2 linked regions of the Caenorhabditis elegans genome follow. The protein of the gene in region 1 purifies or fractionates together with the protein of each later gene. This does not show direct contact. Each region holds a gene or a part of one and is shown on either strand. Other genes may lie near its edges.

What was found.
Region 2: the proteins of pde-12 (region 1) and cyp-13A8 fractionate together in Caenorhabditis elegans (co-fractionation; one large-scale study listed by BioGRID). This does not show direct contact.

Annotation. Positions count from the first base shown.
Region 1 is NC_003281.10:10,839,911-10,850,202, forward strand, and holds pde-12 (Endonuclease/exonuclease/phosphatase domain-containing protein), read right to left. Parts: upstream 5,111-10,292; 5' UTR 5,002-5,110; coding exon 4,915-5,001; intron 4,859-4,914; coding exon 4,643-4,858; intron 4,589-4,642; coding exon 4,077-4,588; intron 3,427-4,076; coding exon 3,325-3,426; intron 2,652-3,324; coding exon 1,979-2,651; intron 1,008-1,978; coding exon 833-1,007; intron 261-832; coding exon 139-260; 3' UTR 95-138; downstream 1-94. Other genes in the region: fbxb-85 (F-box domain-containing protein), read right to left, coding at 7,835-8,618, 8,681-8,757; hex-3 (beta-N-acetylhexosaminidase), read left to right, coding at 9,343-9,480, 10,240-10,292.
Region 2 is NC_003280.10:9,803,698-9,813,989, forward strand, and holds cyp-13A8 (Putative cytochrome P450 CYP13A8), read right to left. Parts: upstream 3,873-10,292; 5' UTR 3,836-3,872; coding exon 3,480-3,835; intron 3,414-3,479; coding exon 3,267-3,413; intron 3,217-3,266; coding exon 3,117-3,216; intron 3,050-3,116; coding exon 2,753-3,049; intron 2,704-2,752; coding exon 2,447-2,703; intron 2,400-2,446; coding exon 2,256-2,399; intron 2,159-2,255; coding exon 1,930-2,158; 3' UTR 1,903-1,929; downstream 1-1,902. Other genes in the region: cyp-13A7 (Putative cytochrome P450 CYP13A7), read left to right, coding at 1-108, 164-495, 550-649, 697-1,253, 1,324-1,467, 1,513-1,750. UniProt on the Caenorhabditis elegans protein: Cytochromes P450 are a group of heme-thiolate monooxygenases. They oxidize a variety of structurally unrelated compounds, including steroids, fatty acids, and xenobiotics.

The sequences.
Region 1 (10,292 bases):
CTCTCAATTTGCCCCAAGATCTTCAAATGTATTCCTTTATTTTTTTTTCTTTTTGACGACCCAAATATTGCCTTCAATGTTGATAAATCGGTGGAATGAATAGTAATTTTCATTTTAATTCCTATAAATATAATAGATTTAAATTTTAATATCACAAATAATTGGCAAATGATCGGAAGGTGAGATTGGAGACGGCAGTGCTGTGTATTTTATCACTTTTTCGTGGCTTGGAAGTGGACAGTGGCGGATTGAAGTGGCTCCTGAAGAATATACAAATTTTTAAAATTTTTTTAGCAATTCGATTTCTCCGAAAATCGAAGAAAATAATTTTAAAAAATTTGAATTTTTCCATTTTTGAATTTTTTAAAATATTAAACCGCATTTTTCAAATCAAATTTTTTTAACAGCCTGATTTTTTGGTAAATTTAATTTTTACTCAAATTTAGGTCAAAAATTGAAAAAAAAAGTTAAAATTTTTTAAAAATTTTTTCCAGAATAATTGCAATTTTTATTCTAGCGAAAAAAATTTTTAAAAATTTCTGAATTTTTTTTTCAAATTTTTGAACTACGAAAATGTCCAGTTTTTCAGTGAATTTAATTTATTTTTAATTCATATTTGAAAGTTTTTTTTTTAAATTAAAATCTAAAATTTTATTGAAACTGTAAATTTGATTTTTTCCAAAATAAAAGAAAAACCTAAATTTAGTTAAAATTCTAGATTTTTATTTATTTTTGAGTTTTAAAAAATTCGAATTTCGGAAAATGCCTGAAATTTTTTTCAATTTTTTCAGCAATTTTTTTGGCAATTTCCAAAAAAAATCTAAATGCTTACCAACTCCCCAAATATAATCCAAACATCCGACAAATCCATCCTTTTGGCTACTTGCCGTGTAATTTGTATATTCTGGTGTTCCAGTGAGACAATCCATTTTCTTATCGATTTTTATATCCTGTGGAGTAATTTTTGAGTCGCAATTCCACACGGCGTCTTCTTTTGGGAGATTACCCTGGAAACTAGTGTTTTTAAGAAAAAAAAAACACTTTTTTAAAAAACTTTTTTTTAGTAATTGCAATAATTATTTTGACAGAAAATTTTGGATTTATTCTTGGAAAAAATTGGTTTCATTTTGAAAATTAAGAGAAAAAAAATTTCAACTGAAATTCAAAAATTGCTCTTTTTTCGACGATTAAAAAAATTAAAAAAATTAAACTTTGATTTAGAATTTTTTTTTTGGAATTTTAATAATTTACAAATTTCGAATTTTCATTTTTTTCGGAGAAATTAGCATTTTTTTTGTGGAAATACATATTTATTATTATTTTCTAAATATATGAAAAAAATCGAAAAAACAATTTTTTTATTAAAATCTTTGGAAAATGGAAATTATCAAAATTCCAGAAATTTATCGTTTTTTTTTTTGAAAAAATTTAGAAAAAGTAAATTTTCAAAAATATTTAAAAATTCATTTTTTTTTTTTTGAATTTTTCGATTTATCACCTATTTTTTTTTTAAATCTGAAATTTTCAAATTTAAAGCGGTAATTTTGGAATTTTTGTTTGAAAAACTAAAAATTTTTTTTACCAAATTTTGGTGTTTTTTTTGGAAATTCAAAACTTTAAAAATATTGAATTTTCATTCACTTTTTGCTGAAAAACTCTGGAAATTATTCAAAATTCCAGAAGTTTGTCGATTTTTTACAAAAATTCTGAAAAACTTTTTGGAATACACATTTTATTTTTGTGATTAGTATTTTTGAAAATAATAAAAAATTCGATTTTTTGTAAATATTTATTTTTCACCTATTTTTTAAAGAACATCTGAAATTTTCAAATAAAAAAAAACAACCGCTCTAGTTTTTTAGCGATAATTTTGGAATTTTTGTTTGAAAAATTTAACTTTTTTTGGAAACTTGGAAACACTAGAATAATTTTTTATTTATTTTTTCAATTTCCTTGAAATCAAAAAAAATATATTCACCATGCTCATCAAATTAAACACAGCTCCATTGGGTGTACTATTGAAATCTCCTCCAAATAAGACAAGAACCTCAATTCCTTTATTCAATTCTCTAGTTTCCTCGTAAATTTCCAAAAGTTTCCGTGTACAAGTCAATGCTTGTAGCACTTTCACGTGTTCATCTATAGGATTATGGTGTAAATGTGTATTGCCGCAGACTAGAAGTTTCCCGGTTCTGGAATCTTTTAGAACCACAATTTGCAAAACTGTGGGACGAGTTGAAAATCGTTCTTTCGATTCTTCTGATGTCTCAAGGATCCCTAGAATATCTCCACTAGCTAGCTCGGCAACTCCGTAACACTTTGAAGAGATCACTTGAAACCTCTGACTATCGAAAATAATAGCAACTCCTTCGGAAACTGTTCCAACTTTTTTCGCGATTTCACTAGAATAACTGATCGTATTTAAAAATGGCACAATGAAATTCTCATGACGACTGAGATCAACTTCTTGAAGGAATATCAGAGAGCACCGGGCACTATGAATGAAATCATGCAGCTGTTTCAGGAATATTGGTGTTCGGTAGATAATTCGTTGGCTCGATTTTTGGCAATAATTGAAGAATAGTTGTTCTTGTGGGAGTGTGAGGTTTAGGTAGAGGTCAGCCAGAATGTTATACGACATTATTCGAATTCTGTAATAATTTGGAATTTTTTAAAAAGAATTCTATTTAAATTCTAAAATAAAATAATCGTTTCTTTTTTCGAATTTTTTTGTGTATTACGATTTTGAAATGTTTTTTAATTGTTCTAGATTTTCACATGTTTTTTTTTAGAAAATCTGAAATTTTCCATTTTTTTAAACAAACGCTTTAGTTTTTAGCGATTACGAGAAGCGATCGGTAATTTTGGATTTGTTTTTATTGAAAATTTTAACTTTTTGAAAAAAAAATTAAACTTTAAATTTTTAATTTTAGAAATCGTTTTTTTTTTTGGAAAAAAGGTTTTTTTAATTTCAATTTTTGGTTTGTCCCTAATTTTTAAGAAACTTTAAAAAAAAAACTAAAATACAGTTAAAATTCAGAAAAGAACTCCGCCCACGTCGTCTGATTGGTTGAAAAAAAGGCGGAGCAAATCGCTGAGTGGTCCTGCAGTGTTTCTACAGAAATTTAAAAAAATCGCAAAAAACTTGTTTTTTGCTCCAAAACCGAAAATTATTCTAGGAAGAATTAAAAAAAAAGGCTTTCAGTTTTTTTAATATAAAAATCGAAATTTTTTTTTATTTTTGTATTTTTTTTCACTTTTTTCATGAATGAAATCTTTTTTTTTTGTGTAAATTTTTGGATAATTCAGAAAATTAAAACGAACGTCGAATCATCTTCCAATGAGATTTCCTCGCACCATTTGACCTGCTCGTCAGTAATAACCTCATCGTGGAGCTGGGAAATCGGTCTCGAACTTATTGCAGCGCTGAATAATTTCTTTTATATATTTAAAATGTTTTTTTTTTTCATTTTTTGTTTTTCATAAAACTTAAAATCAACTTCAAAATTTTTTCGATTTTTTAAATTTTAATTTCAAAGAAGTGTTTTGGTTTTTCAAAAATTGGCAATTTTTCTCATTAAAATTAGTATTCTTTTTTATTTAATCTCTAGAAAATCACAAAACGTTTTGTAGTTTAATTGATTTTTGAAAATTATTTTTCTAAAAGATATTTTTTATTATAATTTCCCTAGCTTTCGAGAAAAATTTTCTTTTTTTTCATAATTTTTTAAATTTTTACTTTTTCTCATTAAAATTGGCTCTTTTTATCTGATAATTCAACATTTAATATTTTTGATTTCAAAAAAAAAAACCCAGAGCTTAAAAAAAAATGTTCAATATTTATTATTGAAATTGGAATTTTCTTTGACAAATTAATGGTGAATTTTGGTTTTTTTTTTCGAATTTTATTTTCCGAAAACGAAAATTATTCTATATCGGATATTAATTATTTATTATTTCTGAATTTTTTAAAGGATATTTTTTTTCTTAGTTTTTCAACAAAATTTTTTTTGTGTTAAGAGACATATTTTTCTACAATTTTATAGCTAATTTTAAGCATTTCGCCGCCTCCTTACTAGGCTGGATGATCTTTTCCAGACTCCACAACGACTGCGACCAGCCGGCTAACATCCTTCTCATCAGGCTGGAAATATGGCCCAGAATGCCTAAAACTGTATCCATGCAGCTTAAAAGTTCGAGCTGCCTCGTCCTCGAACGCCAGTTTCAGAGAATCGTTATCCTTCTGAGTTGGACCTAATTTTTCCGATTTTCCAGTCTCTTTTTGATCCTTGACGAACCAATGTAGCTGTACACGAGTTCCTTTGATATTGTAGGCAATTGTAGGCATACAGAATTGGCCGACGATCGGTGTAAGAGTAATTGATACTGTAGAAATTGGAATTCCGTTGCGAATTACTTCAAATTCGGAGCCATTAACCAATAATTTTGAGATCCTTTTATCATCAGCAAATTCTAGAGTCGTTTTTAAATTTATATCCTTGAAATTTTCAAATTCCGCGGCTAATTGCATCGAAATATCCTCCTCAGAAGCCTCGGTCCTTGACTTTTTCCTCATTAGCGCTGAAATCTGGAATAATTTGCTTCATTTTTAAATTTAAATAATTTGATAGATTTCCCTCACCTTGGGCAAAGCTTCATCTACCAGCTTCTGCTCAAAAGCTCGCTGAGTCTTTATCACAAAATGCTCCTCTCCGTGATTAAACTGGAACATAAAATTCAATCCGGTTTGGATTTTCTTTTTTTGCACTGGCGCCTCGGTTTTCCAGAGAAAGATTCGATTTGACGGCAGTAACATTGTTCGTCTTCTTTTTAAAGGTGTGATCAAAGCTTGTTCGTCCTGAAAATAAATAAATAAACAACTTTTTGAATAGAAAGCAAATTTTTAAAATTTACCTTTAGAATATCCTTCCAAGAAAGCGGTTGTTGGGGAGCTTTTCGGATGAATACTGACTTAAAGAAGTCTGTTAGATGTTTTAACATGTGAATTTAACAAAAATCTCATGAATAAGGCGGAGTTTGACACAAAAAAATCTCGGTTTTGAAATAAATCACAATATTGTTGCTTGTCCGAGAGGAGTACGCAGGAAAGGCACGGAGTATGCGCCAGCAGACGTTACTTGGCGCATCAAGAAACGCGCAAGCATAATATTCAAAATGGCATTATTTATAATATTTCCGGCAAAATTCAACATTGAATTTTTAATGGTGCGTCCATAGTCTGCGGAAAACGGGAAATTCCAGCCTGCGGAAGCGTCCATAGTCTGCGGAAAAAAACAAGGAGTTTCTCGCTTTGTTATTGGTCAATTTCAAAATAGTGGGCGTGTTCAACCAATTAGGGGCTGTAAAATTTTAAGCTGAGCAATGGGAAAACAAGAAGCAACAGCTGATTGGTTGGCCACGCCTACTTTTTTGAATTTTGAGGAAAAAAAGAGAGGAACTCCGGTTTTTCCGCAGACTATGGACGCTTCCGCACGCGGGAAATTCCCGTTTTCCGCAGACTATGGACGCACCCTAAGACATTTCACTTTTTTACTGTAAATAATGTATGTATTATTTACAGTAAAAAAGTGGAAATTACTGCCACTTTTTTAGAAAGTTATATTTCTCCCGCATTTTCAACGAATTAATTGTTCTTTACACCCCTATTGCCAAACCACTTCGTCCGAAATCCACCTCTCACAAATCCATTTACAGGCTTGCGCGTCGCGCGTGCTCGAATACCATATCAGTCAGAAGAAAAATGCGTAAAGAGCTCAAATCTATCAAACGAAGACTTGCTCATGAGGAAGACCAAGCCATTCACGCCACTGACTCCCGCAGTGTATTTCAGCTTGTAAAAAAAAGAATCACCCCCCGACCTCAACCTATCAATCTTGACATCAATAATGAAACAGTGTCTGACCCAGTGCGCATTGCAGATGAGTTTATTCATAACTTTGCTCTGTCATTCACAGCGCCTTGCCCACCCTTCCCAGCTCTTCCGGCACCCAAGCCCTCTAAATTATCCCTCGATTTCTCGCCGTTCAACATCCACAGGCATATCAAAGTTCTTAAAGCCAAAATTGGGTTTTCTACCGACAATATCAATTTCTTTATCATAAAAAAGTGTAGTGATTCTCTAACCGTCCCCTTGTCCATAATCTTTTCCGAGTCATTCTCCAGCTCCTTCTTCCCGACCCCCTGGAAGACTTCCATCATTGTCCCATTACACAAAAAAGGGTCCACAACTAATCCGGGTAACTATCGCCCGATTACACTTACTCATCCATTGTCTAGACTATTTGAACGAGTTGTACTTGATGCTCTCAAGCAGAAATTATCTCCACTCCTCTCTTCCAAACAATTCGGTTTCCTGCCTGCGCGCTCATGCACTCTGGCAGTTCTCGAATCGACGTCCAAAATTCAGAAAGTCCTCCTTGACAAGAGCAAGTATGTGGATACTATATATTTCGATTTCAAAAAAGCATTCGATAGTGTTCCCCACAACTTGCTTCTTCTCAAACTTCTGAATGTTGGGCTCGATTCAGGATGCTGTGAGTGGATCAGCTCGTTCCTCAGTAACCGTTCATCGAAAATCAAAATTGATCATTTTATCTCGGACAACTCTTTCAATGTCATGTCTGGTGTCCCCCAAGGTAGTGTAACTGGACCATTCCTCTTTCTTTTGTATATTAATGACTTATTATATTTTCTTTCTTTTGTATATTAATGACTGATTTGTTCCCCCCTGATGTCCATGTTACAGCCTTTGCCGACGATCTAAAATTACTCGGATCGGACCCCACCTCTATCCAAACAAGCATCAATATTGTCGCTGATTGGTGTAAAAAATGGCGTCTAAATCTTGCTGAGCACAAAACTGCCGTATTACATTTTGGAAAAAAGAACCCCCGTCATAAATACTTTGTAAATAGTGTTGAAATTAAACCGCGTGATTCTATCAGAGATCTCGGAATCATTGTCGATACCAAATTATCATTTGTAAATCATATTAATCAGACTTCTAATAGTGCCCTCCTTAAGTGTCGCCAAATCCTTCGTTCATTCCGCTCTAAAAGTCCCGAATTCTATTTTAAACTGTTCAATGTTTACATCCGCCCCGTACTCGAATATGCCTGCGAGCTCTTCCCGCCCAACTCCACCGAACTTGCCAAAAAACTCGAATCTCCCCTCCGGTTTTTCTCAAAGTGTGTCTTTCAAAGGTGCAATTTATCTTACTCGTCATACAGTAGTAGGCTTTCAGAATTTAATTTATTGTCTACCCACCATAGACGGGTTCTTCAAATCCTCCGAACCTTCCATAAAATTATTTCAAGCGAGTATCACTTCCCGTCCTTATCATCGTTCGTTCGAGCTTCACGCTCTACTCGTCACCCCTATCTACTTGTTGTCTGTGGTGTCCCGTCTAAATGTTTTCTACATGTTAACTTGTCGTTGTGGAATCGAATAGCAAAACGTTTCCCTCAATTGTTAACTCCAAATGCATTTGCGTCGCGCCTAGGCTCTATCCCATTTGACACCCTCTTCCCCCCAACTTGACCTCCCGGGCTATAGCTGGTCCAATTGGTCATTTTACTTATTTGTCCACACATCTTTTTTATTTACTTTTTTTCTTTATCTTCCGGTGTAGCTATTTCTTGTGACAAATAAACAATTATTAAATATTATAGCACAACCAAATGTTTTAGTATTCAACTTTTTATCACAAATACAAGCAAAACGAAGTGAACCATAACAATGAATGTGTGAATAACATTTCCAATCTGGGACCTATTTTTTAAATACCAATGAGACAAGTTGAAAATAAAAGAATCTAACTACAAACATTTAGTTTAACATATTTAGGATACCTAGGAGAATTGAATAATGTAATAGTCGCTGCAGTCCCATCCTTTCGTCGGATATTAAATACTTCAAAATCGTCCAATTTTCCATCAGTTGGTGGTTTTTGATAATCAATTCCATTCAAGGCAATTGTAGTGAACTCGTCCAAATTTGAACCGTTTTGGGCATACATAATCAAAATCTCCAGCCATTGATTTGATCCATTGATCCAGTGTTTCAAAAATAGGCAAATATCTGTTAGGGGTAATAGTGTATGCATAAGTATTTCGGAAATATTTGAAACTAGTAAGTCTTCCAATTTAATTGATTCGTCTTGCTTTATCATAATGTTTTTAAAGTTACAACAGGTGACTGCTTGAAAATCTTGAACTCTCGGGGAGAAACAGCTTAGGAGCAATTCATCAAAATTCCATGAACATCTCTTCAATAGGTTTCCGTGAAAAGTGTCCATGTAAGGAGATGTAAAGTGTAATGTTTCGATATTTAAGCTATCGAATTCTTCAATGATGGATTGGTAATCGTAACTACTAATCGTCAGTTGAGAAACTTTTTGTTGATGGAAAATGTCAAGGATATGGTCTAGAAATTTTCTTAAACCGATTTCCGACACTTTAAAGGACAAGCTTTCAAGTGTATTGAGTTGGACGTCTATGGAAATTATTGTCGACATTGTTAAAATAATGTTATTAGCTCTCAAATTCAACGATTCAACTATAGATTTAGCAAATTTTGAATTGAAAGATATGGAAACTCTGGAAAAATAAAAGTTATTAAAAGTTAGAACACAAATAAATAATTCGATTTAAATACTCACAAATAATACACATCCATTGTTTGAAATAATAAGCGTAGCGGTTTGGAAGGTAGTCGGAGAATAGGGAAACCAGCCATTTTGGTTGTAATAAGGACAACTGGACAATGGAGCAATGGACAACTTGGTGACTGATGAACGAGTATCGATTTGTTATATATATATATAACGCTGCGTTCTTTAAAACAACGCGAATATGGTGCATTGATAAATTAATTGATAAATAAATTAAACAAGTGAATTTGAGAGTTTTTTTTTTTGAAAAAAACTCCTTCTAATCTCACACAATCTTGACAAAACCACATTTTATTCACTTTAAAATCTAAAAATCAGCGCATTCAAAACTTTGATGCAAACATTAATTTTCGAAAACTATTATTCAAATATTCGCAATTTTCGCTTATCCGAGAGGAGTACGCAGTGAGGTGTGCGACAAGTGCGTCAGCAGTGGTTGCCTGGCGCATCGAGAAACGCGCAAGCCAATTTATTTTTGTTTTTTGTTTTTCTTCCCGATTCATCGGAATTTCGCGATAAATTTGATTTTTTTTGATGATTTTAACTTGAAAAATGCAAGAAAAATAGTTTTCTCCATTAAAATTACCAATAAATCCCAATAAAACCAACCATTTTCCAGGTTTTATGCCACAAGTGCAATAAACGTCGCCATGCTTCGAGGTTTTTTCGGGCGCCGCTCGCGGTCAGCATGGGTTCGGCTCATTTATTTGTGCATCGTCACAATAATCTTCCTTTTCGCCACATCACAGTTCAAATCGACGACAACTCACGCGAGATTCGTGCCAGAGGTGAGAAATCGCTGGAAAACCGATAAAACTTAGTATTCGAAGAAAAACAAGAGAAAAAATTGCAAAATTATGTACAAAACATCGAATTTTAACATAAACTCGTATTTTTTAATGTAAAAATTCAGAAAATACTTGAAATTTCGTAAAAAATCAGGGACTTTCAGAAACAAAACCAAAAAAAAAAAAAGCAAAAATAGAAATTTCGAGGTTTTTTTCCTGAATTTTTTCCCTTAAAAACCACATTTCAAACATTTTTCAGTGCTCGGATGCTCGTATCGTTGTTTTAAATGTAAAAATTTTTAAAAAAATCGGGGGAGTTTTAGAAATTTTCAGAAAAAAAATATCGGAAAATGCAAAATAAATCGTAGAAATTTCTAAAAAATTTAAATAAAAAAAGTGAAACACAGAATAAAGCAGAAATATTCAATTTTTCGGCTTTTCAGGCAAATAAAAATTAAAATTTCGAGGTTTTCATGAAAATTAATGATTATTCTTCCGATTTCTTCGGAATTTTTCACTAAAAACCAGTGATTTTGCAAATTTCGTAGTTTCGATTGCAAAAATTCAAAAAAAAAAGAAGTTTTGTTCAGAAAATGTATTGAAAACCCATAGAATACTTGAAATTCCGGCAAAAAAATTTATTTAAAAAATTAAAATACACAAAAATTGAAATTTTGAGGTTTTCCTGAAAATCAATGATTTTTTTTCCGATTTTTCCGGAATTTTTCACTGAAAACCAGTAATTTTGCAAATTTTCAGCCCTCGGATCCGCGTCTCCACCCAAATTCACCACTTCAAGCTCCAAAAGCTCA
Region 2 (10,292 bases), on another chromosome or scaffold:
ATTCGAAAAGGAGTCAAAGGGCCTAGAGGTCTACCATTTCTCGGAGTTATTCACAAGTTCACAAACTATGAGAACCCTGGAGCTTTGAAGTTCAGCGAATGGACAAAGGTAGAATGAATTTATTTATTTTACATTAATCATTAAGTAATGTTTAATATTTCAGAAATACGGACCTGTTTATGGAATTACGGAAGGTGTTGAAAAGACGTTGGTAATTTCGGATCCAGAATTTGTACATGAAGTTTTTGTAAAACAATTTGATAATTTCTACGGGAGAAAATTAACTGCAATTCAAGGAGATCCAAATAAAAACAAGAGAGTACCACTTGTTGCTGCTCAAGGCCATAGATGGAAGCGATTGAGAACTTTAGCTTCTCCTACTTTTTCGAATAAAAGTCTAAGAAAGATTATGGGTACTGTAGAAGAAAGTGTTACGGAGTTGGTCAGATCATTAGAGAAAGCAAGTGCGGAAGGAAAAACTCTTGACATGCTAGAGTATGTTTCAAAATAAAAAGTTTGGAACTGTTTAGACAATTAACTTTTTTAAAGATATTACCAAGAATTCACAATGGATATTATTGGAAAAATGGCAATGGGACAAGAAAAATCCTTAATGTTTAGAAACCCAATGCTAGATAAAGTCAAAACGGTTTGTGGAATGACTTGATTTTAAATAATTTATTTCAAATTTTTCAGATTTTCAAAGAAGGACGAAACAATGTTTTTATGATCTCTGGAATATTTCCTTTCGTTGGAATTGCTCTACGCAACATTTTTGCCAAATTTCCATCACTTCAAATGGCTACCGATATTCAAAGTATTTTGGAGAAGGCTTTGAACAAACGACTGGAACAAAGGGAAGCTGATGAGAAGGCTGGAATTGAGCCATCTGGGGAGCCTCAAGATTTCATCGATTTGTTTTTAGATGCTAGATCAACTGTAGACTTTTTCGAAGGCGAAGCTGAACAAGATTTTGCTAAAAGTGAAGTCTTGAAAGTGGATAAGCATCTGACATTTGATGAGATTATTGGACAACTGTTTGTTTTCTTGTTAGCTGGATACGACACGACTGCCCTTTCTCTGTCATATTCTTCATATCTCCTGGCAACACATCCAGAGATTCAGAAGAAATTACAAGAAGAAGTGGATAGAGAATGTCCAGACCCTGAAGTCACTTTTGATCAGCTGTCGAAATTGAAATATTTGGAATGTGTTGTGAAAGAAGCATTGAGATTGTATCCATTGGCGTCTCTGTTAGTTTTTTTTTAATTTCTAAGTTTTGCCGTGGTGTAGTTTGTTCTCTGTAATTAAAAAATAATTCAGTGTTCACAATCGAAAATGTCTCAAAACCACAAATGTTCTGGGAATGGAAATAGAAGCTGGAACAAATATTAATGTGGATACCTGGTCTCTTCACCATGATCCGAAAGTTTGGGGAGATGATGTTAACGAGTTCAAGCCGGAAAGGTTGGTTTTATTTGACAATTATTTATTTCATCAAATGTTCTACAGATGGGAGTCCGGGGATGAACTATTCTTTGCTAAAGGCGGATATCTTCCGTTCGGCATGGGACCAAGAATTTGTATTGGTATGCGATTGGCTATGATGGAAATGAAAATGCTTTTGACCAATATTTTGAAAAACTATACATTTGAAACCACACCAGAAACTGTGATTCCATTGAAGTTAGTCGGAACTGCTACTATTGCGCCATCAAGTGTGCTGCTCAAACTTAAATCCAGGTTTTGAAATGTGTTTTGTACGGATTGTTGTCTTTGTTTATATATTTACCCAATAAATTTGTATGTTCACGTATTTAAAAGCACAAACTTCTATGTCAGTTACTTAAAAAATTAAATTTAAAGCTATTTGTATTAAGTTGAAGAAAGTTAAAACAACATGGAGGGATTAGGAAAGGTATATTATAATCAAACTCTCGGCTTCAATGACAAGAACAAGTTTTCAGGCCTTGCAGTTGCTCGGCCTACTAATTTAATCGGAAGCTGTGTCTTCGCATTTGTCTCGAAAGTATATTTTTTGAGTATATGTGACAATAATCCTTTCTGCTCCAAAAGTGCAAACCGCATTCCGAGACATACTCTGGGTCCAGCACCAAATGAGAGGTATGCTTGTTGAGGAGTTAATGGAGAGTCCCATCTAAAAATATTTTTAAATTACTTTTTCATAGAATCTTGATAGACGTCACTACGCTCTTGAAAAATCTTTCTTAAAGTACGCATCGAAAATATCTTACCTTTCAGGCTTGAACTCTTCTACGTCATTTCCCCATACATTTTTGTCATGGTGAAGAGTCCAGGTGTCGATCATCACATCAACACCAGCTTCTACAATTTGCTCTCCGATAACCGTATTTCTCATGCATCGGCGGGAGTTTGCACTGAAAGTAAAATATATTTAATTTGTAAGTAAACATTGGAAACTCACAAAGAAGCAAATGGGAACAATCTTAATGACTCCTTGATCACATTATCCATATATTTCAATTTTGAAAGCTGATCAAATGTGATCTCATCATTTGGACATTCTTTGTCTACTTCGTCTTGTAACTTGCTCTGAATTTTTGGATTCAATGCCAAGAAGTATGTAACATAGGAAAGGGAAATGGCTGTAGTATCAAATCCAGCAACTAAAAATACAAAGCACTGGCTAATGATTTCTTGAGTGGTCAGTTGTCGGTTATTCTGAAATTGAAGGAATTTATAAAAATCACTATGTTAATTTCAAGCTTACATAGGAGGATGATTTATGGAATTCGTCATTGCTTTCACCAAAATGTTCAACTTCGGCTCTTGCATTCAAAAACATATCAATATAATCAGCGGCCTCTCCTGGCTCAACTCCATGTTTCTTATCGGCTTCTCGTTGAGCAATCCGGGACATCACTGCGTCCGTTACCGATTTTTGCACGACAATAAAGGGACCAGCTCCGAACTTGCCTACTTTAATGAACAACCATTTGAGAAAAGACACAGCAAATGGAAATCCTCCACTGAACATCCAGATCTGCCAGCGGTTGTGCTCGAAGAACTGTAAAAATACATTTTTGTTAAACTTTTAAAATTAAAAATCAATCCAACAAAGGAGATGAACCTACCCCTTTAACATCCTTTAATAATGGATTTTTAAACATTTGGGAGTCGGGTTGTCCCATGGCAACTCTGGAGATCACGTCAAAGGTGTACTCCTGGTAGAAACTAAAATTTAACAGTAAAACACCTTAATTAGACCGCTATGAACAACTTACAGATGCATATTGACTGCTTTTCCATTCTCTGATTCTTCTCTTAATTTTTTCATAAGCTCCTGTGTGCTATCTTCCATTGTAGTCAATACTTTTTTGATACTGCCATTTGAAAATGCAGGTGCCGTGATTGTTCGGAGACGTTTCCATCTGAAAGTTATCAATTAAAATATGCGAGTGGCAGGCAAGCCAGCACGTCTGAAGTGGTCTCCTTACCTAAAACCTTGAGCTCCAACAATATGAATATCCTTATCCTTATCTGGATCTCCTTGAACTGGATTATGCTTTCTTCCATAAAAATTATCGTACTGTTTCACAAGGATTTCCTGAACCAAATCAGGATCTGAAATCACCATGACTTTCTGCATTCCTTCAGTGAATCCATAAATTTTTCCATATTCCTTTGTCCATTTTTGAAGAGTGTAACCCGGTGGGAAACTATCCTCCAGCATAGCTCCAGCTTTTCCGAAAATCGGAACTCCCCAAGGGCCTGGCAATCCACGTCGCTTCCAGAAAGTCCAATGCCAGAAATAGTAGGTAACAATTGAAATTAGGATGAGCTCGAAAATCATTTTTCAGACGTTGAAAATGCTGAATTTATAAAGCTTCCAATTCTCAAAAAATGAGATATCCACCATAATTTTCTTTCATTTTTATATCTGCCCGAACAGTCACAAACCAAATTTTTGACACAGAAAATGTATAACTACTATCCCTTTTTAACTTTTCCCTCTCTCCACAAACACATACTATCAAGCCATGAGTGATGCAAAGTTTTGACGATAAGAAAGTTTCGAAACAACTGATTATTGTGATAGAAAAATATGATTTGTCGCGTGTGATTTGAGCATGATCAAGTTCAAAATAGGTGGACAGATAACTAGAGTGTTATTATTGGCCTACAGTAAATAAAGTTTCTAAATTAAAGTTTGGTTACTGTAGCGGTATTTTCCATTCACGTTTCAAAAATTGTCTAATCTCCATAATTCTCAGTTTAAAAAAATTTGAAAACCAGTGCACAATTCAAACTCCATATTCTCAATAATTCTCAGTTTAAAAAAAATTGAAAACCAGTGCACAATTGAAACTCCATTATTTCCATGATTCTCAGTTTAAAAAAATTTGAAAACCTGTGCACAATTGAAACTCCATATTCTCAATAATTCTCAGTTTAAAAAAAATTTGAAAACCAGTGCACAATTGAAACTCCATTATTTCCATGATTCTCAGTTTAAAAAAATTTGAAAACCAGTGCACAATTGAAACTCCATTATTTCCATGATTGTCAGTTTAAAATAATTTGAAAACCTGTGCACAATTGAAACTCCATATTCTCAATAATTCTCAGTTTAAAAAAAATTTGAAAACCAGTGCACAATTGAAACTCCATTATTTCCATGATTCTCAGTTTAAAAAAAATTTGAAAACCAGTGCACAATTGAAACTCCATATTCTCAATAATTCTCAGTTTAAAAAAAATTTGAAAACCAGTGCACAATTGAAACTCCATATTCTCAATAATTCTCAGTTTAAAAAATTTGAAAACCAGTGCACAATTGAAACTCCATTATTTCCATGATTCTCAGTTTAAAACAATTTGAAAACCAGTGCACAATTGAAACTCCATTATTTCCATGATTCTCAGTTTAAAACAATTTGAAAACCAGTGCACAATTGAAACTCCATTATTTCCATGATTCTCAGTTTAAAACAATTTGAAAACCAGTGCACAATTGAAACTCCATTATTTCCATGATTCTCAGTTTAAAACAATTTGAAAACCAGTGCACAATTGAAACTCCATTATTTCCATGATTCTCAGTTTGAAAAAATTTGAAAACCAGTGCACAATTGAAACTCCATATTCTCAATAATTCTCAGTTTAAAAAAAATTTGAAAACCAGTGCACAATTGAAACTCCATATTCTCAATAATTCTCAGTTTAAAAAAAATTTGAAAACCAGTGCACAATTGAAACTCCATATTCTCAATAATTCTCAGTTTAAAAAATTTGAAAACCAGTGCACAATTGAAACTCCATTATTTCCATGATTCTCAGTTTAAAAAAATTTGAAAACCAGTGCACAATTGAAACTCCATATTCTCAATAATTCTCAGTTTAAAAAAATTTGAAAACCAGTGCACAATTGAAACTCCATATTCTCAATAATTCTCAGTTTAAAAAAAATTTGAAAACCAGTGCACAATTGAAACTCCATTATTTCCATGATTGTCAGTTTAAAATAATTTGAAAACCAGTGCACAATTGAAACTCCATATTCTCAATAATTCTCAGTTTAAAAAATTTGAAAACCAGTGCACAATTGAAACTCCATTATTTCCATGATTGTCAGTTTAAAATAATTTGAAAACCAGTGCACAATTGAAACTCCATATTCTCAATAATTCTCAGTTTAAAACAATTTGAAAACCAGTGCACAATTGAAACTCCATTATTTCCATGATTCTCAGTTTAAAACAATTTGAAAACCAGTGCACAATTGAAACTCCATATTCTCAATAATTCTCAGTTTAAAAAAAATTTGAAAACCAGTGCACAATTGAAACTCCATTATTTCCATGATTCTCAGTTTGAAAAAATTTGAAAACCAGTGCACAATTGAAACTCCATATTCTCAATAATTCTCAGTTTAAAAAAAATTTGAAAACCAGTGCACAATTGAAACTCCATATTCTCAATAATTCTCAGTTTAAAAAAAATTTGAAAACCAGTGCACAATTGAAACTCCATATTCTCAATAATTCTCAGTTTAAAAAATTTGAAAACCAGTGCACAATTGAAACTCCATTATTTCCATGATTCTCAGTTTAAAAAAATTTGAAAACCAGTGCACAATTGAAACTCCATATTCTCAATAATTCTCAGTTTAAAAAAATTTGAAAACCAGTGCACAATTGAAACTCCATATTCTCAATAATTCTCAGTTTAAAAAAAATTTGAAAACCAGTGCACAATTGAAACTCCATTATTTCCATGATTCTCAGTTTAAAAAAATTTGAAAACCAGTGCACAATTGAAACTCCATTATTTCCATGATTCTCAGTTTAAAAAAATTTGAAAACCAGTGCACAATTGAAACTCCATTATTTCCATGATTCTCAGTTTAAAAAAAATTTGAAAACCAGTGCACAATTGAAATTCCATATTCTCAATAATTCTCAGTTTAAAAAAAATTTGAAAACCAGTGCACAATTGAAACTCCATATTCTCAATAATTCTCAGTTTAAAAAAAATTTGAAAACCAGTGCACAATTGAAATTCCATATTCTCAATAATTCTCAGTTTAAAAAAAATTTGAAAACCAGTGCACAATTGAAACTCCATATTCTCAATAATTCTCAGTTTAAAAAAAATTTGAAAACCAGTGCACAATTGAAATTCCATATTCTCAATAATTCTCAGTTTAAAAAATTTGAAAACCAGTGCACAATTGAAACTCCATATTCTCAATAATTCTCAGTTTAAAAAAAATTTGAAAACCAGTGCACAATTGAAACTCCATATTCTCAATAATTCTCAGTTTAAAAAATTTGAAAACCAGTGCACAATTGAAACTCCATATTCTCAATAATTCTCAGTTTAAAAAATTTGAAAACCAGTGCACAATTGAAACTCCATTATTTCCATGATTGTCAGTTTAAAACAATTTGAAAACCAGTGCACAATTGAAACTCCATATTCTCAATAATTCTCAGTTTAAAAAAAATTTGAAAACCAGTGCACAATTGAAATTCCATATTCTCAATAATTCTCAGTTTAAAAAATTTGAAAACCAGTGCACAATTGAAACTCCATATTCTCAATAATTCTCAGTTTAAAAAAAATTTGAAAACCAGTGCACAATTGAAACTCCATATTCTCAATAATTCTCAGTTTAAAAAATTTGAAAACCAGTGCACAATTGAAACTCCATTATTTCCATGATTGTCAGTTTAAAATAATTTGAAAACCAGTGCACAATTGAAACTCCATATTCTCAATAATTCTCAGTTTAAAACAATTTGAAAACCAGTGCACAATTGAAACTCCATTATTTCCATGATTCTCAGTTTAAAACAATTTGAAAACCAGTGCACAATTGAAACTCCATTATTTCCATGATTGTCAGTTTAAAATAATTTGAAAACCAGTGCACAATTGAAACTCCATATTCTCAATAATTCTCAGTTTAAAAAATTTGAAAACCAGTGCACAATTGAAACTCCATATTCTCAATAATTCTCAGTTTAAAAAAAATTTGAAAACCAGTGCACAATTGAAACTCCATATTCTCAATAATTCTCAGTTTAAAAAATTTGAAAACCAGTGCACAATTGAAACTCCATATTCTCAATAATTCTCAGTTTAAAAAATTTGAAAACCAGTGCACAATTGAAACTCCATTATTTCCATGATTGTCAGTTTAAAATAATTTGAAAACCAGTGCACAATTGAAACTCCATATTCTCAATAATTCTCAGTTTAAAAAATTTGAAAACCAGTGCACAATTGAAACTCCATATTCTCAATAATTCTCAGTTTAAAACAATTTGAAAACCAGTGCACAATTGAAACTCCATTATTTCCATGATTCTCAGTTTAAAACAATTTGAAAACCAGTGCACAATTGAAACTCCATATTCTCAATAATTCTCAGTTTAAAAAATTTGAAAACCAGTGCACAATTGAAACTCCATTATTTCCATGATTCTCAGTTTGAAAAAATTTGAAAACCAGTGCACAATTGAAACTCCATATTCTCAATAATTCTCAGTTTAAAAAATTTGAAAACCAGTGCACAATTGAAACTCCATATTCTCAATAATTCTCAGTTTAAAACAATTTGAAAACCAGTGCACAATTGAAACTCCATTATTTCCATGATTCTCAGTTTAAAACAATTTGAAAACCAGTGCACAATTGAAACTCCATTATTTCCATGATTCTCAGTTTGAAAAAATTTGAAAACCAGTGCACAATTGAAACTCCATATTCTCAATAATTCTCAGTTTAAAAAATTTGAAAACCAGTGCACAATTGAAACTCCATATTCTCAATAATTCTCAGTTTAAAACAATTTGAAAACCAGTGCACAATTGAAACTCCATATTCTCAATAATTCTCAGTTTAAAAAATTTGAAAACCAGTGCACAATTGAAACTCCATTATTTCCATGATTGTCAGTTTAAAATAATTTGAAAACCAGTGCACAATTGAAACTCCATATTCTCAATAATTCTCAGTTTAAAAAATTTGAAAACCAGTGCACAATTGAAACTCCATATTCTCAATAATTCTCAGTTTAAAAAAAATTTGAAAACCAGTGCACCATTGACACTCCATATTCTCAATAATTCTCAGTTTAATAAATATGAAAACTAGTGCACAATTGAAACTCGATATTCTCTATAACTCTCAGTTTACAAAATTTGAAATCCAGTGCACAATTGAAACTCCATTATTTCCATGATTGTCAGTTTAAGATAATGAGAACACCAGTGCACAATTGAAACTCCATTATTTCCATGATTCTCAGTTTGAAAAAATTTGAAGACCAGTGCACAATTGAAACTCCATATTCTCAATAATTCTCAGTTTAAAAAAAATTTGAAAACCAGTGCACAATTGAAACTCCATATTCTCAATAATTCTCAGTTTAAAAAAAATTTGAAAACCAGTGCACAATTGAAACTCCATTATTTCCATGATTCTCAGTTTGAAAAAAATTTGAAAACCAGTGCACAATTGAAACTCCATATTCTCAATAATTCTCAGTTTAAAAAAAATTTGAAAACCAGTGCACAATTGAAACTCCATATTCTCAATAATTCTCAGTTTAAAAAATTTGAAAACCAGTGCACAATTGAAACTCCATATTCTCAATAATTCTCAGTTTAAAAAATTTGAAAACCAGTGCACAATTGAAACTCCATTATTTCCATGATTGTCAGTTTAAAATAATTTGAAAACCAGTGCACAATTGAAACTCCATATTCTCAATAATTCTCAGTTTAAAAAATTTGAAAACCAGTGCACAATTGAAACTCCATATTCTCAATAATTCTCAGTTTAAAACAATTTGAAAACCAGTGCACAATTGAAACTCCATTATTTCCATGATTCTCAGTTTAAAACAATTTGAAAACCAGTGCACAATTGAAACTCCATTATTTCCATGATTCTCAGTTTAAAACAATTTGAAAACCAGTGCACAATTGAAATTCCATTATTTCCATGATTCTCAGTTTAAAACAATTTGAAAACCAGTGCACAATTGAAACTCCATTATTTCCATGATTCTCAGTTTAAAACAATTTGAAAACCAGTGCACAATTGAAACTCCATTATTTCCATGATTCTCAGTTTGAAAAAATTTGAAAACCAGTGCACAATTGAAACTCCATATTCTCAATAATTCTCAGTTTAAAAAAAATTTGAAAACCAGTGCACAATTGAAACTCCATATTCTCAATAATTCTCAGTTTAAAAAAAATTTGAAAACCAGTGCACAATTGAAACTCCATATTCTCAATAATTCTCAGTTTAAAAAAAATTTGAAAACCAGTGCACAATTGAAACTCCATATTCTCAATAATTCTCAGTTTAAAAAAAATTTGAAAACCAGTGCACAATTGAAACTCCATATTCTCAATAATTCTCAGTTTAAAAAAAATTTGAAAACCAGTGCACAATTGAAACTCCATATTCTCAATAATTCTCAGTTTAAAAAAAATTTGAAAACCAGTGCACAATTGAAACTCCATATTCTCAATAATTCTCAGTTTAAAAAAAATTTGAAAACCAGTGCACAATTGAAACTCCATATTCTCAATAATTCTCAGTTTAAAAAATTTGAAAACCAGTGCACAATTGAAACTCCATTATTTCCATGATTGTCAGTTTAAAATAATTTGAAAACCAGTGCACAATTGAAACTCCATTATTTCCATGATTCTCAGTTTAAAAAAAATTTGAAAACCAGTGCACAATTGAAACTCCATATTCTCAATAATTCTCAGTTTAAAAAA